Ovis aries: one gene and its partners. The protein of the gene in region 1 purifies or fractionates together with the protein of each later gene. This does not show direct contact. Links are inferred from orthologs where the notes say so. Each region holds a gene or a part of one and is shown in the gene's direction. Other genes may lie near its edges. The genes, in order: PRKCQ, IKBKB and CHUK.

Region 1 (7,780 bases):
CAATAACATTTTGAAAGATGAAAGAAAAGTTGTATTTGGTGAACACCTTTTGGAGGCCAATCACTGTGCTCAGTTTGTGCACACAAATGGGCGGCAGCCTTCCTTGCCATCAACAAGGCTCTGGCTCAGCCTCGAGCAGCAGTCGTGTCCCAGCATCATGCCAAAAGGCACCTGCCAGGTGCATGAGTATCTCAGTGAAGCAGAGGTGGATGCTTGGTGGCATAATAAGAGCACCGCCCTAATATCTGTCTTCAGCGTCTCCCTCTGTGGGGAAGATGGTGCTGGAGGTTTGCCAATTGTCTGTAGGACATACCTGCACCCAAAACAGATCGTGTTCAGAGTGTCTGGAAGTTGGTTCTGTCGCCCTTGCTCACGGCGTTGCTTCTCTTTCAGCATGTGGCATGAATGTGCATCACAGATGCCAGACGAAGGTGGCCAACCTTTGTGGTATAAACCAGAAGCTGATGGCTGAAGCGCTGGCAATGATCGAGAGCACTCAGCAGGTAGGAATGGCTTTTAGGGGACAAGTGCCCGCAGTTTCAACAAGGACTATTTCAGTCCCTTCACTCTTGGACTTGTAACAACTGTATGGGGAAATCTGGAATCTGTTTCCAAGCTCTTGCCTTGACCCTGGCTTTCATCTGCATGTCCACATCCCCACTTTGAGATGTTTGTTTAATGCATTTCACTTGTGTGGATCTTTGTAAGAGCTTAAATTCTTCATGGAATGAGCAGGGACACAAACAAATGTATTCATTAAAATTATTGAGGATTCACTGCTGGCTTTATACCTGTATAAGATGACTATGTAATAGCTGGTGGGAAAAACATTTGCTGAAATCATCTCCAAAATGCCCCCAAAACACTGAATCCGAGGCAGCTTTGCCTTTCCGCTCAGTAGCGTGCTGAATCCTCACATCTGTGAACAAACCCTCTTTGAGACTTGGCTTTGGGACTTCCCTGGTGGTCCAGAGGTTAAGACTTCACCTTCCAGTGCAGGAAGTGTGAGTTTGATCCCTGGTCAGGGAGCTAGGATCCCACATGCCTTGCCCCAAAAAACCAAAACATAAAACAGAAGTAATATTGTAACAGCTTCAAGGAAGACTTTAAAAATTGTCCGCTCTTAAAAAAAAAAAAAAAAAAAAAGAAATCTTAAAGACTTGGCTTTGCCTACTTGAGCTATTTTTCCATCCATTGGTCTTTGATTCCTATTTGTGACTGAGCGTAGTGGGGAGTGTGGGAAAAACCAGTGGGCCCCCAGAAAATATGAAGGAAGTGAGCACGCTCTGCTGGTGCATAAAATATAATAGACGTTCACAGGGTACGGGATCCTAAGAGAGTGCTGAGGAGGAGAGGTTCGGTTATCCTACGTATTCAGGGATCTGAAATGGCTTCGGGACCGTGGACAGCGGCATGCATGGTCCCGTCTGTGGTTGAGTGGGTAGGTGGGTAGTCTGACTCCTTGTTTGTAACCCAGGCTCGCTGCTTAAGAGATTCTGAGCACATCTTCAGAGAAGGTCCAGTTGAAATTGGTCTCCCGTGCTCCATAAAAGGTGAAGCAAAGCCGCCGTACGTACCAGGACCAGGGAAAAAAGGTAGCTATCCCTATTCACAGTGGAATTGTCATCAGTAATTCATCTTCATTAACCTGAGTCCAGGACTTCCCTGGTGGCTCAGAAGGTAAAGAATCTGCCTGGAATGCAGAAGACCCGGGCTTGATCCCTGTGTGGGGAAGGTTTCCCTGGAGAAGGGAATGGCCACCCACTCCAAGTATTCTTGCCTGGAGAAGCTCATGGACAGAGGAGCCTGGCGGGCTACAGTCCACGGGGTCACAAAGAGTCGGACCCAACAGAGCAACTGACACTTTCTCTAAGACTTTCTGGGTTAAAGCCTCCTTTTACCTGGCCTGATGAATGATTCTTTTCTAGTTAGAAATTACCGACCTAGCCCCCCACAAAGAGGCTTCTACTTCTAGAAGTAAAACCAAAGTACAGCCCACTAGAAAAGCTTTGGAAGTGGATGGGGTTGTGGGACGTTGGGGTGGGGGTAAGAAGATGGGGTTCCTCTGAAATAATGGCAATATTCTCAGAAATAATGGCAAACTTTTCCTTAGAATTTTAGAATGTTATTCCCTGCCATGGTCTGACTGTTCTACAAAACTGAATCCTCCATAGAGCACTAAGGTAGAAATACCACAGACCATCTTATTCTGTACTTTGAGACTTTACTGGAAAGTTTAAGATTAGAATGGGGAAGAATAGCCAACATCCTTAACATTTTATGATATTATGGAAGCTCATCCAGCCTCCTGTTGGAAGGTGCTTTTTGAGAGGTTGTGACTGTGTGGTTCTCGATTTTTATTTTTTTAACACCAAAACCATTTTGTATTGAGGTATAGCCAATTAATTAATGTTGTGACAGTTTCAGGTGAACAGCGGAGGGACTCAGCTATATGTATACATGTGATTCTGAATAGCTTCAACATATATTATAAAATACTTATTTTCCTTGGACGTAGAATATGCAAGACAAACCTAGAGTGGTAAAGACAAACCTGGAGTGGTAAAGAATCCTCCTGCCAAGGCAGGAGACACAGGAGATGCAGCTTCAGTCCCTGGATGGGAAAGATCCCGTGGAACAGGAAATGGTAACCTGCTCCAGTATTCTTGCTTGGAAAATTCCATGGACAGAGAGGCCTGGCAGGCTACAGTCCATGGAGTCTCAAAGAGTTGGACATGACTGAGCACACACACAATTCCAACCACAAAAAGGATAGGATAATTATGTGCTATGAGGTGCCATCAAGTGATATCACAGTAGATAAATGTGTCAATCAACATGTTATGCGTGTTAACTTAGCACAATGTGATATGTCAAGTATATTTCAACTTTAAGAAAAGAAATGTTCTAAGAGGGTGGGAGCAAGGTTCCAGGAAAGTTGGTCTACAACTTCTCTGGCATGGGGTGAGGAATAAATTGTCTGTAAATTTTTTTAAAGAAGTGTTTGGATTAGACTTGGGAAAGGTCTCTGGGTAAACCATGTCTCAGAGACAATCAAAATAGGCAGCATCTTAACCTGAAGACTGTGGTGAATGATTCCATTCGGGCCTTCAGTGATCTGCTATCCAGTTCTTCTTCCCTACATGGTAGGTCACAGAAATTGATGCCGTTATGCCTGCAAGCCATGCAAGCAATGGGGAGTCATTTTCCCTCCAGTTCAGCTAAAATCCCTATATGTCCATGATCTGGCATTATCTAAAGTGCTTGTTTCTGCTGCAGAGATCTGTCTTTTGCTGGTTGGAATGTTTCTTAACCTGACATTTCCCCCAGTCTGTCCCATAAAGAGACATGGTCCACCCCCCAGATTTCAGGCTTCCAGGCAGGAGGTGCTCCTTTTGCCCTGCAGGAACCCCTTTCTGAGCTGTTGCGGATGAAACTTCAGAACAGGATATGAAAAAGAAAGCAGGTTCTCAGAATAGCTAGGAAGATGCTCCGCTGTTCCTTGTTTCCTTTTAACCCCTGGCTTATCATTTTCAGAGCCTCAGGGGATCTCCTGGGAGTCTCCCTTGGAAGAGATGGAGAAAGCATGCGATCGTCCAGAACCTGAGCCGAACAAAGAAAGAAGTTCTCTACGTGTGAAACTAAAAATCGAGGACTTCACCTTGCACAAAATGCTGGGGAAAGGAAGTTTTGGCAAGGTATGATACTGTATGTAGGATTCTGTGGGCCAGATGACAGAAACTGAGAAGCAAAGCTCTGGCCAGTGGAACTGAGCTGGTGGGACCAAAATGAGGCATGGGTGTGCAGAGAGAGGCTTCCTGGGCGGGAGCCAGGATGTGATGTGATGTGATGTATGTTAGAGGGCAGAGAGAGGTCTGAATCAAAAGGGACCCAGGGGCTTCCTGGTGGCTCAGACAGTAAAGAATCTGCCTGCAAAGCAAGAGACCTGGGTTCTATCCCTGGGTTGGGAAGATCCCTGGAGGAGGGTGTGGCAACCCGCTCCAGTGTTCTTGCCTGGAGAATCCCCATGGACAGAGGAGCCTGGCAGGCTACAGTCCACGGGGTCGCACAGCCTCGGACACAACTGAGCGACTAAGCACAGGGAGCTCTTGGGAGCAGCAGCCTCTGCTCCCTGGGGAAAAACAGCTCCAGCCATCTCACTTTGAAGGTGTTCATCCCATCAGCTTCTGAGCGTGGTATCTTTGGACGCCAATGAAGCGGGGAGGTGCCCCGGCCAGTTCCTGTCTCATAGATATTTTTGTTTCATTGGTGGTTTTGTTGTTGTTTTGCTCCTTTCTTCAACCCAGAGTGTGGTTTTACTTTCCTTATGATTTTTTTCTCAGTCTTGTCTTAGCTTAGGGCTACTGGAATAAAACACCACAGAGGAGGGCAGCTTCAACAGCAGAAATGTATCTCTCCCAGTTCTGGAGGCTGGACATCCTGGGTCAAGGTGTGGACAGGGCTGTCCCTCCTGAGGCCTCCCTCCTTCCCGGGTGTAGACGCTGTCTTCTCCCTGTGTCCTCACACGGCCATTGCTCTGTGTCCCGATTCCCTCTTCTTATGAGGATGCCACTTCGATGGCATCAGGGCCCATCCTAATGACCTCATTTGAACATAATCATCTCTGTAAAGACCCTGTCTCCAAATAAGGTCACACTCTCAGGTGCTGGGGGTTTAGGACTTCAGCATATGAATTATTAAGGCTCCCCTGGCGGCTCAGATGGTAAAGAATCTACCTGCAATGCGAGAGATCTAGGCTTGATCACTGGGTCAGGAAGATTCCAGAGGAGCCTGTCCATGGAATTATCTGGAAGGGACACAGTGCAGCCCAGAATTACAGCCATAACTTGAGTGTCTTAGGAAAAGTTTCACAGAGGAGTCCCTCCTCTCAATTATTCCTGCCACTCACTCAACGTATGGGCTCTCTATCGCGGGGGGCGAGGAGGAGGAGGAGGAAAACATAGTCTAAGAAATTATAATCAACTATCAGTGACGAGAAGATTGTCAAGTCAGTGATTATAAAGAGGAATGTCATGGAATACAGGCTTTTACGTTATATTGGCTATTAAGGATATCTCACGATGGCACCCCACTCCAGCACTCTTGCCTGGAAAATCCCATGGATGGAGGAGCCTGGTGGGCTGCAGTCCATGGGGTCGCTAAGAGTTGGACACAACTGAGTGACTTCACTTTCACTTGTCACTTTTCCTGCATTGGAGAAGGATATGGCAACCCACTCCAGTGTTCTTGCCTGGAGAATCCCAGGGATGGGGGAGCCTGGTGGGCTGCCGTCTATGGGGTCGCACAGAGTTGGACACGACTGAAGCGACTCAGCAGCAGCAGCAGCAGCAGTTGTTTTTTTATTTATATTGGATGTCACTTCTTGGAGAATTTTAGCCAGAGACTACTGTTCCATGAATTTGTGCAACCAAGGCCAGCATTATGCTCAGCACCTGCTCACCAGACTTGGGCTGTAAAACTTACCCAGTTTAATAATAAACAAGATGAAATGCACCTAGGTCTTGCCATAGCTGAATGACTTTGTATTGCTAGTAGGGGTCGGGTTTAATACCAAGGAATCGCCTTTGGCAAAACCCACTCTGCCCTGCCAACTGTAGCCAATAGCTATTAGTTTGTTTCCACAATAGCACGAACCATCGCAGGCTCACTTGTGTTATTCTGAGTGCAATAGGCAGTTTTACAGCCAGTCTTCATTAAAATGTAGCATCAATTAATGTGCCATGATAGCCTGTTACCAAAAATTGACAGGACATTATAGAGATAGAGATTGCCTTTTCGACTTCTTAGTTTAAGGCTGGTTTGGAGGAATGTTTTATTGAAAGAAGCAATTACCAAAAGAGGATTTCTAATTGTTATAGAAATGTTTTTCTTTGTTTTCTGGGTAGATTTCTACTTCTCAACAAGGTTAACACAGCCTTAAGTTAAACCTACCTGCCTTAGTAAATAACCCAATGGACAGCTGAGAGCTTCAGTAGCCTCGGCTCTGTGACTAAGCTCCTCCCCATCAGAATCCCAGATCCCTGGACCCCGAGGGGACTGCACTGTGGGGCCCCAGTGAGAGAGGGGAGCCCCAAAGCAGAATATATTTCCTTTTCTTGAACTCCAAAATTTGTTCTTGTTTTTCTTTTTTTTTTTTTTTTTTCACTCTATAGATATGGTTCCTCACCAAAATGGTAGCCTGTTTTGGTTCTCCATTGATTTTAGGCCCAGGAGAATAAATGGCATGTTTTCTGGGGTTATGCACATTATTTCCCTGATGGCTCAGATGGTAAAGATTCTGACTGCCAGGCAGGAGACATGGGTTCGATCCCTGGGTTGGGAAGATCACCTGGAGAAGGGAATGGCTACCGAGTCTGGTATTTTCACCTGGAGAATTCCATGGACAGAGGAGCCTGGTGGGCTACAGTCTGTGGGGTCGCAGAGAGTTGGACACAACTGAGTGACTCACACTTTCACCTTCATGCCTGAATTCTCATCTAAGCTCTGCCCTCTCTATCAAGCCAGCTACCCCCAAAGCTATGTGTCTGCACTGTATTATTTTAAACATAGACACATGCATTTTCCACTCCTGGTGTGTCTTCATGAACTTCAGCATTCCTCAGAAGTCACTAAAAGAAACAAGTGATGAGTGGGAGTTTTGAAGTATAGTTGATTCACCGTATTATATTAGCGGCAGATGTGTTGTGACATAATGATTCAGTAGTTTTATAGACTGGATTCTAAAGTTATCACAGAATAATGGCTCTGTTTCACCATGAGATTCAAATATCGCCGCTGCTTATTTATTTTACACAGAGCAGTTCGTACCTCTTAATCCCATGCCCTTGTCTTGGCCCTCCCCCCGACTGGAACCCACTGGTTTGTTCTCTATATCCGTGAGTCTGCTTCTGTTTTGTTACATATATTCGTTCTGGTTTCAGATTCCAATAACTGTCATTCAGAAAGCATTTTAGAGTTCGCGAGTCGCTTCCCCACCTGGTGTGTGATTTTCGCAACAGTCCTGTAAGTCAGCAGTGTGGTGATAGTTATGGCTTTTCCACATTAGGGAACCGAAGCCCAGGGAGGTTGCTTTGTGAGCCCACATTCCCACAGCTGGTAAATGTCTGTGAAATGAGGCCAGAGCTGTGGCTTTCTGACTCCACAGGCCGTGCCCTCACTTCTATCAGTTGCCTGTGGCTGCATCATCTGCAAGAATACAGGTTGGAGCAACCCTCCACTCTAAGCCGTCTGGTGTCCTGTCTTATAAGATGCCTGAAACTGAGTGGAAAAAGTCAGCTTTGGAGTCAGATTTTCCACTGAGTAGCTTTGTGAGTTTGAGATAGTTACCCTTTGACCCTAGGTTTCTTTTATTATTACTATCTGTATTGCAGAGCGTTCTGAACCAAGAATTAAACAGGTACTAAAATTAGATAGCATGTGTAAAGCCTGTAGCAGAATGTCTGGCACATAGTAGGTCTTGAAGATAATGTTAGTGTCTGTGCCATCAGAGGAAACGCTGTGCATTCTTTAAGTACATCAGGACAGTTATATTTCTCACGTATGCTTTTTGGCCTTGAAAAAGTGGGTAAAATGTGGAATAAGGTTTTATGCTCATTTTTGTTGATTATTTCAAAAGCAGTCAAGTCTTCCTCTTCCTTGCTTGCTGCTGCTTCCTCAATACACATTTTTCTCTGATTGTTTTTTTTTTATAAACTTAGGTCTCTGGGCAGACAGGACACTTTAAAAAAAATTGTATTGGCGTATAGCTGGTTTACAGTGT
Region 2 (8,319 bases), on another chromosome or scaffold:
TTCCTTTCTCTTTCTGCTTTGAGGTCAAGTGTGTTGTTTAGCAGAAGCAATAGCATAAATGCAGAAACTCTGAGCATCCTGGCATGTCTGCGTCAACCCTGGCAGCACTGACCCCTCTGCTCGTGTTGGTGTCTGTTCCTAAGCGTTAACTCCAGACTCAGGCTGTGTCCAGGTCAGAGTTCCTGTCAGGCACGGCTTTTACCATCTCATCATCTGTCTTCATAACAAGCTCCCCAGCCCCTCCCATCTCTGACTTGTGCCCTCTGTTGTTTTCAGGCTGAACCACATAAAACTGCTAATCTTTGTTGCTGATGTTTCAGCTGGTTTCGTTTTATTTTAAAAAAAATGATAATTTCATGCAATTCAACCTTATGCTGTCTACATTTTTAAAAATCGAGGTATAGTTGATCTGGGGGCTTCCCAGTGGCTCAGCAGTAAAGAATCTGCCTGCAATTCAGGAGCCACCGGAAATGTAGGTTCGATCCCTGGCTCTGAATTATCCCCTGGAGGAGGGCGTAGCAATCCACTCCAGTATTCTTGCCTGGAGAATCCCACAGACAGAGGAGCCTGGCGGGCTACAGTCCATGGGGGCGCAAAGAGTTGGACATGACTGAAGCAACTTAGCACCAAGCACCACAGTTGATTTACAATATTAGTTTCAGGTACACAACATAGTGATTCATAATTTTTACAGATTATACTCTAGCTCAGTTGGTAAAGAAACAGCCTGCACTGCAGGAGACCCTAGTTTGATTCCTGGGTCAGGAAGACCAACTGGAGAAGGGATAGGCTACCCACTCCAGTATTCTTGGGCTTCCCTTGTGGCTCAGCTGGTAAAGAATCTGCCTGCAAATCTAGATCGAGACCTAGATTCGATCCCTGGGTTGGGAAGGCCCCCTGGAGAAGGGAAAGGCTCTCCACTCCAGTATTCTGGCCTGGAGAATTCCATGGATTGTATGGTTCAAGGGGTCACTAAGAGTCGGACATGACTGCGTGACTTTCACTTTTTTCATCAGTTTAGTTCAGTCGCTCAGTCGTGTCCAACTCTTTGTGACCCCATGAATCGCAGCAAGCCAGGCCTCCCTGTCCATCACCATCTCCTGGAGTTCACTCAGACTCCCGTCCATCGAGTCCGTGATGCCATCCAGCCACCTCATCCTGGGTCATCCCCTTCTCCTCCTGCCCCTAGTCTCTCCCAGCATCTTAGTTATTACAAAATATTAGATATATTCCCCATGCTATACAATGTATCCTCATAACTTATTTACCCTCTACATAGTAGTTTGTTAATTCTACCCCTATCATGTCCCTCTCGTCTTCCTTCTTCCTAGTGCTAACCACAAGTTTGTTCTCTTTGTCTGTGATTCTGCTGCTTTTTTGTTATATTCACTAGTTTGTTGTATTTTTTTAGATTCCTCATAGAAGTGATATCATACTCTATTTGCCTTTCTCTGTCTGATGTATTTCACTAAGCATAATGCCCTCCAAGTCCACCCATCAATGTTGCCTGCATTTTAAAGAGCAACGGGCTGCTTGGGGTGGTCTGAGTAACTTGAAGTACCTAAACTCTTTAGGTACCTGAATACCTAAAGTCCCAGAGGTAGTCAACAGCAGTCCCTGGATTTAAAATCCTTCTAAACTTACTAGTATGCTACTTTTAGCTACATATTAAAACCTTGCACTCAAAAACAGCTGCTGGAGTTTGAACATCAGATAATTATCCACTTAAAAGCCTGTGACTTTGGGATGAAGACTTTCTCTCTGTGCTTCAGTCTTATCATCTGTAAAATGGAGATAATAATAATGCAGTACTGTCCAATTTGTAGGGTGGCCTTGAGGACTGGATGAGGAAACCTAAGTACAGATTTAGTGTCAGCCACTTACAAAGGTCTGTCTAGTCAAGACTTCTGGAGAAGGCAATGGCATCCCACTCCAGTACTCTTGCCTGGAAAATCCCATGGACAGAGCAGCCTGGTAGGCTGCAGTCCATGGGGTCACTAGGAGTTGGACAGGACTGAGCGACTTCACTTTCACTTTTCACTTTCATGCACTGGAGAAGGAAATGGCAACCCACTCCAGTGTTCTTGCCTGGAGAATCCCAGGGACGGGGAAGCCTGGTGGGCTGCTGTCTCTGGGTCGCACAGAGTCAGACACGACTGAAGTGATGCAGCAGCAGCAGCAGCAGCAGTCAAGACTATGGTTTTTCCAGTAGTCATGTATGGATGTGAGAATTGGACCGTAAAGAAAGCTGAGGGCCGAAGAATTGATGCTTTTGAACCATGGTGTTGGAGAAGACTCTTGAGAGTCCCTTGGACTGCAAAGAGATCCAACAAGTCCATCCTAAAGGAGGTCAGTCCTGAATATTCATTGGAAGGACTGATGGCTGAAGCTGAAGCTCCAATACTTTGGCCACCTGATGTGAAGAACTGACTCACTGGAAAAGACCCAGATGCTGGGAAAGATTGAAGGCAGGAGGAGGAGGGGATGACAGAGGATGAGATGGGTGGATGGCATCACTGATTCGATGGAAGTGAGTTTGAGCAAGCTCTGGGAATTGGTGACGAACAGCTAAGTCTAGCATCCTGCAGTCCAAGGGGTCACAGAGTTGGACCCCACTGAACTGAACTGACCGACTCACTAAGCACTCTATCACTCTGTAAAGTGAGCTATTATCTTCAGATTGCCTTTGATACCTTACCCTTGCTTGAGTAATAATACACACACACACATACACACAATCTTTGTCTGCTAATATGTTGCCCTCGAACTGAGAAACTCAATAATAAACTCAAATCATGATGCCAAGGAGGTCGGAGATGAAGGATTAACAGGCCGAGAGGTAGTCTCACAATTTCCGCCCGTTACTGGGGCTGAACCTCCAGTTTTGCGTTACAGTATTAGATTTTCTCCCCCTCTTCTTAATTTTTTTTAAGAGGGAAGAGGAGGTTGTCACGCCTAGGGACTACAGGTGTGATTTATCATTATCGATCTGAGCCCAGGAGTCTCCAGACCAGGTGAGGGATTACAGCCGGAAAAGCTAGAGCCCCAGGGTAATTCTGGTAAAACGTCCCTAAATCCATCCTGGGGGGGGGCGGGGAGGGGGGGGAGCGGGAGTGGGGGAGGAGCGGGAAATTCCCCTACTTTAAAGTCTAGGAAGCCTGGTCAGGCTGACCCCGGGGCGGGGCTGCGGGGCAGGTGAGGAAATCCCCATCTTCCCCGTCCCAGAAAGCGCTCAGGTACAAGTCGCACGTCTAAAGCGCACGGGGGCGTTTTCCCCAGGGTCGGTCACCGGGCAGGGGCGGGGAAGTCTGGGCCGGCGGCCCCTTTAAGGCCGCGACCCACGTGCCCCGTGACGTCAGAGCAGGAAGTGTTTGAGGAAGTTGGCGCCTGTCTCGAGGCTCTGAGGGCCCCGCGCGTTCATGTCTTCGGGGCGGCGCCCGCGCCCCGCCGCCAGGTGAGTGCCTCGGGCGGGCGCCCCCGCTGTCACCCGCACCCCCGTCTCCGAGGCTCCCAGAGACGCGCGTGACCGGCCCCGAATCCGGGGCTTCCCGGGCGGGGAGGGCTGGGAGGCCCCGGCGGGGTGGTGCCGGGCGGGGGCCCGGAACGCGGCGGTGATTAGTCGGGACCAGCGGGGAGGCGCCGGAGCGGGGGGCGCAGCCCGGGGATCCCCTGGCAGTTCCTGGGTGCGGGGGCGTCCTGTCCTGGGCGGGACCCCCACCCACCCCTTGCTGCTTCGGGGTGAGGTGGATGGGGGGCTGCGAAAGACAGGACTTTGCTGCCCAAACGAAAACCAGACCCAGCCACCTGCTTTTATGTACGGAGATGAAAAATCAGTTCCGATTTTTCTTTACCATCGAAGCGCTGTGGCATCTCTTAACCTTGTCCATCTTCCCACTTTTCCTTAACCATCACCTTTTGTTCCCCCCCTCGCCCCCCACATTGCTTGCAGCGTTAGCAGGACTTCAGTATGAGCTGGTCACCTTCCCTGCCAACCCAGACATGCGGGGCCTGGGAAATGAAAGAGCGGCTTGGGACAGGGGGATTTGGGAACGTCATCCGATGGCACAATCAGGTAGGCTCTGTGCTGCTGGGAGGAGCCGGGGGGCGGCAGGGTTAGGGGGTGCAGACTAAGTCTCACCCCCTACCCACCCTGTGAATGGGGCTCACCTTGGCCCTGGGCTTCTTGGGAGAGAAAGGGCCTGGGAAGATAGCCTCAGGTCCCCTAAGCTGACTAGGTTAGTGGTCTCCAAGCTTTACTGACTATGTCACCTAAATAAATAGTAAAAAAAAAAAAAAATGTAAGTTTTCAGCTTCAAATATATATTTTAAAATTACATATCTTTGCTAACCTAATATTATCACCTACTAATATATTGTGTAGTTGACTCATTGGAAAAGACTCTGATAGCTGGGAGGGATTGGGGGCAGGAGGAGAAGGGGATGACAGAGGATGAGATGGCTGGATGGCATCACCGACTCGATGGACATGAGTTTGGGTGAACTCCGGGAGCTGGTAATGGACCGGGAGGCCTGGCGTGCTGCATTTCATGGGGTCGCGAAGAGTCGGACACAACTGAGCAACTGAACTGAACTGAATATATTGTGTACTAATGTATTAGATGTTATGAAACATGCAAACATGTTTTCACACTTTAGAAAAATCTTAAGTGTAAAAATAATAAACCATTTTTAAATGTTTTAAAAGTTAATTTAAAAACCATTTTAAATACTTAGCAGTTATGGTGTCTTCCCAGTGTTGTTTGCAATACCTCACAGTGAGAGTTATACAGAGGCACGTGAAAATGAGAATTATCGTTGAGGATGGTGGGTGAACATGCACGTTTCAAGTAATCTTTATAATTTGAATTCTTTGGGCCAATTTTACATCTCATAGATCATCATTTTCTTAATGTCTTTGACATGTGAATTTTTCACCCCACAAGCATTAGGGCTTCCATATTCCTGTTTGTCCTGGTGATACATGCACTGAAATTCTCCACAAGAATCTCTTTAAGCCACTCATCCATTTTATGAGAGTCCTTTTATTAAAATCCTGGAATGAAAAGTCAAGTGGGCCTTAGGAAGCATCACTATGAACAAAGCTAGTGGAGGTAATGGAATTCCAGTTGAGCTGTTTCAGATCCTAAAAGAAGATGCTGTTAAAGTACTGTACTCAATATGCCAGCAAATTTGGAAAACTCAGCAGTGGCCATAGGACTGGAAAAGGCCACTTTTCATTCCAATCTCAAAGAAAGGCAATGCCAAAGAATGTTCAAACTACTGCACAACTACACTCATCTCACACGCTAGCACAATAATGCTCAAAATCCTCCAAGTCAGGCTTCAGTAGTACATGAACCATGAATTTGCAGATGTTCAAGCTGGTTTTAGAAAAGGCAGAGGAATCTGAGATCAAGTTGCCAACATTCACTGGATCATCGAAAAAGCAAGAGAGTTCCAGAAAAACATCTACTTCTGCTTTATTGACTATGCCAAAGCCTTTGACTCTGTGGATCACAAGAAACTGAGGAAAATTCTGAAAGAGATGGGAATACCAGACCACCTAACCTGCTTCCTGAGAAATCTGTATGCAGGTCAGGAAGCAACAGTTAGAACAGGACATGGAACAACAGACTGTTTCCGAATTGGGAAGGGAGTATATCAAGGCTGTATATTGTCACCATGCCTATTTAACTTATAGTACATCATGAGAAATGCTGGGCTAGATGAATCACAAGCTGGAATCAAGATTGCTGGGAGAAATAATCAATAACCTCAGATATGCAGATGACACTACCCTTACGGCAGAGAGCGAAGAACTAAAGAGCCTCTTGATGAAAGTGAAAGAGGAGAGTGAAAAAGTTGTCTTAAAGCTCAGCATTCAGAAAACTAAGATCATGGCATCCGGTCCCATCACTTCATGGCAAATAGATGGGCAAACAGCGGAAACAGTGTCAGACTTTATTTTGGGGGGCTTCAAAATCACTGCAGATAGTAATTGCAGCCATGATATTAAAAGATGCTTGCTCCTTGGAAGAAAAGTTACGACCAACCTAGACAACATATTCAAAACCAGAGACATTACTTTGCCAACAAAGGTCTGTCTAGTCAAAGCTATGGTTTTTCCAGTAACCATGTATGGATGTGAAAGTTGGACCATAAAGAAAGCTGAGCGCCAAAGAACTGATGTTTTTGGACTGGGTATTGGAGAGGACTCTTGAGAGTCCCTTGGACTTCAAGAAGATCCAACCGGTCCATCCTAAAGGAGATCAGTCCTGAATATTCATTGGAAGGACGGATCCTGAAGGTGAAATTCCAATACTTTGGCCACCTGATGCGAAGAACTGACTCACTGGAAAAGACCCTTATTCTGGGTAAGATTGAAGGCAGGAGGAGAAGGGGATGCCAGAGGATGAGATGGTTGGATGGCATCACTGACTCGATGGACATGACTTTGAGTAAACTCTGGGAATTGGTAAAGGACAGGGAACCCTGGCGTGCTGCAGTCCATGGGGTTGCAAAGAGTCGGGCACGACTGAGTGGCTGAACTGAACATATTAAAATCGGATGATACTGTCCGTAATTCTACGTAAGTGGGGCGCTCGGAGCCTCCGGCCTGTCCCCACCGGCCCCTGTCCGCCCCTGCTGTTGGAAAGCCCGTTGTCCTCGGGATCCCCCGAGTGTCAGAAGTGGCGCGCAACCTGACAGACACTCTGAGCGTGGTGCTGCTCGGTTAATAGCGGGAGAGCTTCATTTCCTGTGTGTGTGTGTTTTTTTTTTTTTTTTTGGATTCCTGTTTTGAGTAACCCCTGCCTATACCCAGTTTGGAGACCTCTGCTCAGAGGAACCCTCACTTACCCTATAGCTAATACTAGCTTCTTAACCCAAAATTCAGACACATTGAAGCCCTTGAGGGAAGGTACCCACTTTTTAATGAAGGGCCTCCAGCATCTTTCTGGATTTGAAGAGATGGTAGATTCCCAGGAGCCTGGCTGCAGCCAGCAGGGAGAGTCATGCTGGCCTCTGGCCAGTCACAACAGAGGTCATCTCAGACCCCCAGCCTCCCCTATCAGCTGGAAGACATGGAGCTCTGAATGGGTGGAGCAGCTCCCAGTGGGTGGAGCAACCCCTAGAGGAACGTGGGGGCCAGAGGACTCCTGCAGGTGGTAGTTACTCAAAGTCACCAGGGAAACTCCCGATGCCAGCAAACCCCATGGCTGTGGGGGAAGGGGGGTGCAGCAGAGCCCTGGCATCAGGACGGAAGAAGCTAGCTCCTTCCCCAGTTCAGTTCAGTTGCTCAGCCGTGTCTGACTCTTTGTGACCCCATGGACTGCAGCACGCCGGGCCTCCCTGTCCCCCACCAACTCCCGGAGCTCAGCTCCTTGCTCAGCCCCACACAGACCTGGGCCGGGGCCTTCAGAGTCTTGGCTCCAGCCCGCGTCCCACTACAACCTCACCTCAGCTTCCTTGAGAGAGAGTTCTGTCAGGATGGGCCACTGTCTGCTCTCTCCACCCCCGGGGGCCCCCGTGTGCTCTCTCGGCTTGAGGTACGGAGAGAGAGAGAGTGTGTGTGTGTCTTCTATTTCAAATTCCTTCTCCTGTTCAAAAACCTTATTTAACAAAACAAACCGAAAGCCAAGCTCTCCTGCCGTCTGGGGCCCCTGCCCTCCCTGCCTCTGCCCTTTGGGCTCCAGCAGGTCAGTCAGCGAGGCCCACTGGTGGAGTCAGGGGTCGGTTCTCCCTGAGCTCCTCAGCTTTCCGCGCAGCCCATGTGTCTGTGGAGGAGGGCTCCCATCAGCCCGGACCCTGCCTGCCTTTGGGCCTCTTCCAGTTCCCTCACAGAACCTCTATGTTGTACATAGAGTTTGTTGTACTCTTGGGTGCCCAAGAGTCAGCCACTGTTTCATGAAGGCCTTTTGGAAAAAGGAAAGCACCACTAATGAAGTATTATAAATGTAAGGTCCCAACTATGGTCATCACAGCCTGGGAGAGGGACCCCAGGGCTCTGAGACCTTGCACTGGGGGTCGGGAAGGCTGCCCTGGGGGGCATTGCCAGGCGGGAGGAACAAGCAGCCTGAGGGTTGGTGGGCGCTGGCCAGGTGGGGAGGGTGAGAAGAGGGTCCAGGCTGAGGGGGCGGCCTGTTCAGAGCCCCTGCTAAGGGTGGGCCCTGGCCATCGGGTGTGAGTGGGTGGGCTGACGGGGGAGCTGGGTGCAAGGGAGGCTGATGTGCAGGAGGTGGGTGCTGCTGCAGGGAGCCCTGCTTTGGGTTGGGGGGACACATGGGAAGGGGCCCAGGCAGTGCTGGGCGGGGCAGTCAG
Region 3 (7,549 bases), on another chromosome or scaffold:
CTGCCTTATAGACCAGAATTGAATCCTGATTGTCCCTTTGTAATAACCCCACACAGTTAACTTGTCTGTTTCAATGTTCACATTTCCTCACCTGTAAAATGGGAAATGCTATGAAAATTCAGCTAGACAGTATATATAAAATGCTTGGGAAGTGAATCTTCAGCAAATGTTACTTCTTCTTAGCTCAATCCAAGTTCTAAGTTCTTTTTCTATTATTGACTTATTAAACATTTTAGCCATACTTTATTCCTAAATTTATCATTTATCTCTAAGAATTTATGCTGTCTTTTTGCAGTTGTCATTTTAGGGCCTTTCACCCCCCAATGGAATTGAGTTTAATTTACTCATTTTTGGAGAAAGCAATGGCACCCCACTCCAGTACTCTTGCCTGGAAAATCCCATGGACAGAGGAGCCTGGTAGGCTGCAGTCCATGGGGTCGCTACTAGTCAGACATGACTGAGCGACTTCACTTTCACTTTTCACTTTCATGCATTGGAGAAGGAAATGGCAACCCACTCCAGTGTTCTTGCCTGGAGAATCCCAGGGACAGGGGAGCCTGGTGGGCCGCTGTCTATGGGGTCGCACAGAGTCAGACACGACTGAAGTGACTTAGCAGCAGTACTCATTTTATAACTTCAGACTTTTTTCAGTGCCTTAAATCGTTTTTGGAAACAACTCAAGTTTGAAGTCCTATACTTTCCTTTAATTCCTACTCTTCTGCTAAAAGCTGAATGACTATCCATTTCTGTTATTTTTCTCAGCATGAGATGTGCCATATCCAGAGCCAGTGGCTCTTTGCTAGCTTGTGTATTATCGCTTATTTCCTGGAAGCTCTGCCCATAACTAGTTTTCCAGAGGTGCAGCCGTGTAACATCACTGCTCAGGAGGTCAGAGCTGCACATTCTGTACTCTGCTTTTATAAGAGAAAAGCACATGGCAGGAAGGCAAGCTGATACCAGGTATTCTATCTTCTTAAAGAAAGCAAGTTCTAGGGTATATTTTAGGGTCATTATACATTTGGCCCAATGTAATACATCCACAGCTAGAGCATAGACTATAATTAGTTATATGGACTTTAGGAAATATTTCATTAATCAGAATTGATACAAATAAACTTTAATATCTTTTTGCTTTCATTAGAGACACTTGGGTTTATTAGAGAATGCAAATGGTTGCAAATGTTACCTCTATACAAGTGATTTTCAGTGTGAGGTTATGATTGTTTGCAAAAATATATTCACCAGGAATTTAAAAATATATTTTCCAAAAGGAAAACTGGTTTCAGTAATAATATACCTGTGGTACTTAACCACCAAGGACTGGGGACTGTTGACCTCAATTTTTCTATCTGTTGAATAAGCTGAATGAGAATTTAGTTCTAAGCTAACAGTGACCATCTTCCATGGCCTGGAATTGGTTCTACTGGGGTAGGGACTGAGGGTTAGTAAAAGGTAAGGATGGAGGCCATATGGAAGAGGAAAGTATAGAAGATAGAAATCAGATTCAGGATTGTCTTCAAATTTCCAAGGATACTTCTTTGTTCTTTGCAGCTCCCCGTCATAGTTTTCTTCTGCTGTCGTCAGGAATCAGCTTGCTTTTCTTTTTCATTGCTGTTATCTATATTTTCCACAGTTTTTTTCACCTTCCCTAATCTTTGCAGAAAAGATAGCTTATCTTTTCTGTCTCTTCCCCTACATTTGTGTCTCAGAAGTAAGCATGCTGATGTTTTTACTACTTGTAAGGAAAAGGAAATGTTCCAGAAACAAAAAGAGATCTTTCATCTGGCTGTGCCACAGGATCTCTTTTTCCCCGAGTGAGCATTTTCAGGGGGGAAAAGTTGTATATAAGTGCTACTTATATTTCAGAGGAAAATCAGATTGGCGTTATAGTGGACTCCTTATCATTAGAGCTGGGCAGAGGCAGCAGCCTGGAGTAACAAACAGGACTCTGCCTCTGGGTGGGAGGGATGAGCAAACTGAAGACAACAGGAATCAGCTGTGTTGGGTTGCTGGGTTGTGGTGTTGTAGCAAGAGCAGTATCATCCTGACCCTGAAAATCAGAAAGTAGAGGAAATTCATATGCCCTTTTGCTTTCATTCGACAGGGAGACTTTAGCACAAATGATAGAAGAAAATTTGAACTGTCTTGGCCATTTAAGCACTATTATTCATGAAGCAAATGAAAAACAGGGCAACAGTATGATGGTAAGTTTTATATGAATATGGATGTGTGTTTTAAGTGTGTTGGGTGCAAAGGGCTTAACTTTCCATGCTGGACTTATCTGGTGTTTGGGATTCAGTTGGGGAATAGAACTCAGAGCAAACAGCATTTGAGGAATGCTTAACCTCAACTCCCCATCTTCTCTTACTCATGGATATACTAGGATTATACCATCAGTAATCTTTAATAGCATTTTTGGTCAAGTTAAATGATTGGTGAGCTTTCTTTGCAGTGTGACCACTGAAATCAAATGGTCTGTACTTTTTTGCTTCTGCAGTCAGTTTTCCCCAGTAAGATGGGGCATAATTTGTACTGTACTTCAAATATAGTAACTGTTGTGTGCAAAATGAATAATGTTAATATGGTTATTAACAGAAGTGTTTTTATGAAGATTTGATTGCTATGAATTACTGATTTGTTAAAACTTGGCGAAACTACAATAAAATATTTACTGAATTAACTTTTACTATGTTTAGTCTTGATATTAATTCTTTGTTTATTCCTCTTTCATTATTTGCTTCAAATATCTGAAAACTCTTTGAAAATTTTTTTTTGTTAGTAGAAATTAAGGTAAACTAGACTCTTTAATTGTAACTTATTTGTATTTTTGGTTTTTCAACTTTTGATTATAAAATCTCCAAATAAACAGAAAACTTGCAAAAATGAACACCCATATACCTACTGCTTAGAGTCAACATCTAATGGTAACTTTTTCATGCCTGGTTTTAGAGTCTTGATTGGAGTTGGTTAACAGAATGACTTGCCACTTAGTGACTCTCCTGAAACCTATGAAGTTGTTGCTGCACATGTTAGACATTTGTTTTTCTCCTATGAAGCCATTCTTCAAATACCAGTCAATGGAAGAAATGACTATGATCAGAAACTCCACATGATTTTACAGCATAATATTTTGATTCTGGGTAATTTTAACTTCTGAACAGATAGAATTTTATGAGTCGGTGGACTTAAATCCATTTGTCTTCAAACTTGGTAAAACATTACTTATTTAACTGATTCTTTCAACATTTAACTTTTGGGCATAAGGCCAAAATAATGTATACAGAGAAGAAAATCTCAACATGTATTCTAAGTAAAAAGTGTTTGCCTATGTTTCTGTGGAAGAGACTGCTTGTGTTGTACTTGTGTTGCACTTAACAGTGCTCTTCCCAGCCTCATAAGAGAGTTTAATCCCATTTTCCATTTTACTGTACATTTGATTGTATCCCTTTCCTATGAAAGGGATTGTGCATTTGTGCCTTTAATACCAATTGATTCTTCCAAATGTTAAGTGTGCTATATGTATATGTATTTAAGATGTACATTTAATAATATCAAAGAGAAGATACCTGTTAATTTATAATGTATTTGAAAGCTTATCTGTTTTCATTTGTAAAAATGGGTCTTTTCAGGAATCTTTCATGTCTTGTCATACAAATTTATAAAGATCTGCATTCTTTATCTATAATTCCAAAATCCAAAAATCTTTGAAAACAAGATTTTTCATAAAATTGATGACAAAATTCATCTGCTTGCACATCCAACAAGAATTGACAGTGAGTCTACTTATCCCATTTAGTGTGAATATTCTTTTCTTTTGCTGCAGAAATATTACTGTATTTGATTATTAGGGGGAAGGGTGCTGGCACAGACCCTGCCTGAGGTTTATGTAGTATGGTATATGCACTGAATTACCTTTCTAAAATCTGAAAATTTCATAATTCTGAAGCATCTGTCCCCAAGGGTTTCAAGACTAGATTGGGTTGCCTTCAAGATGGTATGGCCGCAGACAGGGTTTCAGATAAAGGATTGTGGATCTATTGTCTATTAAATAATTTAGAAGGTATTACTTGTTTTAAAAATGTGAAATGCTTTTGTATTCTAGACAGTTTTTCACTTTGTATATTAAACAATTTTTAAATTACTTTCTGAATCTCTATTCATTAAAACCAGACTGTAGCAGAATAATTGAATATGCTTTGAGAAAATGTGAAGGTTCCATGAAGCAAAGTTGGAGCACAGAGTAACATAACAGGCTTTTAGTGTACTTAGGAATGAAACAGACTTACGGTAAAGGCAGTATTGGGTAGCTTCTTTAATATAGTCTTTTCTCCTGAGATGGCCTGTCATCACTATCTGTTTCTAAAAACTATGCTTATACCATGTCCTAAAAACTGCTGTCTTAGTTACACCATCCCCATTTTTGCTAATAGTGTCATTTTTCCAGTCATCTCAGTTTGAGACCTTGGGATTGTCTTCGCCTAACTTTTTAGTCAACTGCTACTACTGTTTCTCTGAATATGGACATTCTGGCTACCAGCCATTAAAACTGGCTGTCTCTCTCTTGCTTCTTCCAGTTCTAGAAGGTTTTAATCAGTAAACATTTATTGGGTGCCTGTTGCTTGGAAGAAACTGAGCAAAATGGGAAGATCAGAAAAATTAACACAGGCAGTACAATAAGAGTGTTTATTTGGAATGAAATTATTGTTAAAGGCTTTTTGAAATGAGCATTTTCTAAATATCATTATAATAACTGATAAAAGACCTGGTATAGGGTGGGACTATTTTTATGGTTTGTGGCTGATACCACCTCAGGAGAGCCTGATCTGTATGATATAGGCAAGTGGTATGAGTCAGAACAGCCTATTACAGTGAGATCACCTCAGATATGCTTTTGATACATGAGTTGACCACTCTATTTGTTATTTGTTGACAGTTTTCAGAGTTGAATTTCAATTGTGGATTATATCTATTTCATTCAAGCAATACTATGAAAAACTAAAATAATTCATCCAGAAAACAGAAGTAAACGAGTTATTTTTCATTCGTTTTGCTTTTTGTAGGTCAAAATAGCTAAGCTCTGCAACAAACATTTATCTAGTACAGACAAGGTCCCATATATTCTTAGGTGTAAAAGTCAAAGGGATGATCCAGGTAAGTGCATTTATTGAAGGGAAAAGGTAAAGTTGTTTGGGAGGGCTTGCTTTAATGAAGATTTGAATTGATTCTATTACCTCTTTCCATTTCCACCAGTTACAACTACTGAAACTTTGGGCCTGCAGTTTACTAACCACTTGGCTTCCCTGTCTCCTGTCTCCACTCCGAGCTATTCTGTAGACTTACTGACCCAGAAGCACTGCTTTCTCATACTTCCCTACCTAAGAGATTACAGAGCTCTCCAACTTTAGTCTATTTGTGGTCCCACTGCTAGTCTTTCAAAGCTTGTGTGACTAATGCCCAACCTCTTCTAATATGCTGCCCTAATTTCCCTTATATTCATCTATCTCACTCCTATCTTTACTCTTTCACTAAAAGCAGAGACATCACTTTGCTGACAAAGGTCCATGTAGTCAAAGCTATGGTTTTTCAGTAGTCTTGTACCAATGTGAGAATTGGACCATGAAGATGAGCATCAAAGAACTGATGCTCTCAATTACGGTACTGGAGGACACTCTTGAGAGTCCCTTGGACAACAAGGAGAGCAAACCAGTCTAGTCCTAAAGGAAATCAACCCTGAATACTTACTGGAAGGACTGATGCTGAAGGTGAAGCTCCAATACTTTGGCCACCTGATGTGAAGAACTGGCTCATTGGAAAAGACCCTGATGCTGGGAAAGATGGAGGGTAGGAGAAGGGGGAGACGGAGGATTAGATGGCTGGATAGTATCAGACTCAATGAATAAGAGTTTGAGCAAGCTCCGGGGGATAGTGAAGACAGGGAAGTCTGGCATCCAGTCCATGGGGTCGCAGAGTCAGACACTACTTAGTGACTAAATAACAATGAATAACTTAAAAGGGCAGAAAAGTATTTAGTGAAAAGAAAGTATGTCTTTATTCTCTGCTGCTAAGTCGCTTCAGTCGTGTCCAACTCTGTGCGACCCCATAGACGGCAGCCCACCAGGCTCCCCCGTCCCTGGGATTCTCCAGGCAAGAACACTGAAGTGGGTTGCCATTCCCTTCTCCAATGCATGAAAGTGAAAAGTGAAAGTGAAGTCGCTCAGCCGTGTCTGACCCTCAGCGACCCCATGGACTGCAGCCTTCCAGGCTCCTCCATCCATGGGATTTTCCAGGCAAGAGTACTGGAGTGGGGTGCCATTGCTTTCTCCGGGTTTATTCTCTAGCCATCCAATTTCCCCTCCCTGCAGAAAAGCACTGTTTTAGGGCCTTTCAAAATCAGGGCCTAGCCTAATATCCCACTCCTTTCCAACACAGAGGCTTCAAGGAAGTTCAAACGCTCACTGTTCGTAGTCTTCCTGAAGGACCCTCCCAACACACACCCACGTTTGCGTGCTTATTAGTTCATTCGGTTCTTACTGCTTGGATGGCCTTCATAAAGCCCTCACTGGATCAGCATTCTAGCACGTTAATAGATGTCTTTGCACAAGGACAAACTGACCACTAAGGGATGTCTCAGATGCCTTCTTTCCTCTGCCCCTTTGCTTACTTCCAATACCCCACTTCCCTTTTCTTCCGGAGCAGGAAACCAAAAGCACACAGAGAAGACCCTACGCACCTTCGCGCGAATCTCTTGGCGGGCGGCTTGGAGAATTTTGTCCCATTCGCTCCCCGTCTCTAGTCGCAGGGCGCGGCGTCGGCGTGCGTGTCCGCGCAGCCGCATTGCCCCGCGGGTGGGCGGGGCCGGCTGTTGGCGGCGGTTGGCCCGGCCTTGGTGGCGGCTCCACGTGCGGGCGGGGACGATGCGTCACTGATTAGTGAGGCCCGGCCGAGGGGTCGGCCTCCGTCCGGAGTCTGCGGCTGGCTCCCTTCTCAGTTAGTGCCTTCTGCTGGGCGGGGAGGAGTGGTCGTCGGGAGGGGGCTGTCAGGCCGAGCCGTGTCGACTCACGGGCCAGCTCTGGCGGAGCGGGTTGGCGAGGAGGAAAAGGGGGCATAGGACTCCTCAGCTCGGCCTGCGGGACGGCGCCGGGTCGCGAGGGGGAAGGTGGAAACCAGAGGTGGTGGGCCTGTCACTCAAGGGGCTGGGGCTGCGTTCCATCCGCATGCAGGAGGAATTAAGATGAATATGACTCAAGCCCGAGTTCTGGTGGCTGGAGTGGTGGGTCTGGTGGTGGTCCTCCTCTACGCCTCCATCCACAAGATCGAGGAAGGACACCTGGCCGTGTACTACAGGTGAGCAGCACGTGCAGTCAGCTCAGGTTCTAGAGCAGGGAGAGGGAGACTTTTATTCGAGTCTAGGAAATTGTTCTCGGGGAACTTTTTCTAGTCCTAGAAGGTGATTTTCGTCGCATCCCTAGGGGGTTTGGGGGTGGTGGCAGGCTTTTGTAGACAGCTGGACAGTTTCAGTGCTGTGCAGAGATTAAGACTCCCTACAGTT

The links.
Region 2: the proteins of PRKCQ (region 1) and IKBKB purify together in Homo sapiens (affinity purification with western blotting; 4 studies listed by BioGRID). This does not show direct contact. The link is inferred for Ovis aries from reciprocal best matches to the Homo sapiens genes PRKCQ and IKBKB.
Region 3: the proteins of PRKCQ (region 1) and CHUK purify together in Homo sapiens (affinity purification with western blotting, with the first as the bait; 3 studies listed by BioGRID). This does not show direct contact. The link is inferred for Ovis aries from reciprocal best matches to the Homo sapiens genes PRKCQ and CHUK.

Annotation. Positions count from the first base shown.
Region 1 is NC_056066.1:11,280,857-11,288,636, reverse strand, and holds part of PRKCQ (protein kinase C theta type), read left to right. Parts: intron 1-393; coding exon 394-503; intron 504-1,477; coding exon 1,478-1,595; intron 1,596-3,537; coding exon 3,538-3,698; intron 3,699-7,780. UniProt on the Homo sapiens protein: Calcium-independent, phospholipid- and diacylglycerol (DAG)-dependent serine/threonine-protein kinase that mediates non-redundant functions in T-cell receptor (TCR) signaling, including T-cells activation, proliferation, differentiation and survival, by mediating activation of multiple transcription factors such as NF-kappa-B, JUN, NFATC1 and NFATC2.
Region 2 is NC_056079.1:36,450,715-36,459,033, forward strand, and holds the start of IKBKB (inhibitor of nuclear factor kappa-B kinase subunit beta), read left to right. Parts: upstream 1-3,351; 5' UTR 3,352-3,454; intron 3,455-3,949; 5' UTR 3,950-3,967; coding exon 3,968-4,072; intron 4,073-8,319.
Region 3 is NC_056075.1:20,873,114-20,880,662, reverse strand, and holds the end of CHUK (inhibitor of nuclear factor kappa-B kinase subunit alpha), read left to right. Parts: exon of another isoform or gene 1-2,050; intron 2,051-2,104; coding exon 2,105-2,204; intron 2,205-2,949; coding exon 2,950-2,979; 3' UTR 2,980-4,141; downstream 4,142-7,549. Other genes in the region: ERLIN1 (erlin-1), read left to right, coding at 7,232-7,344.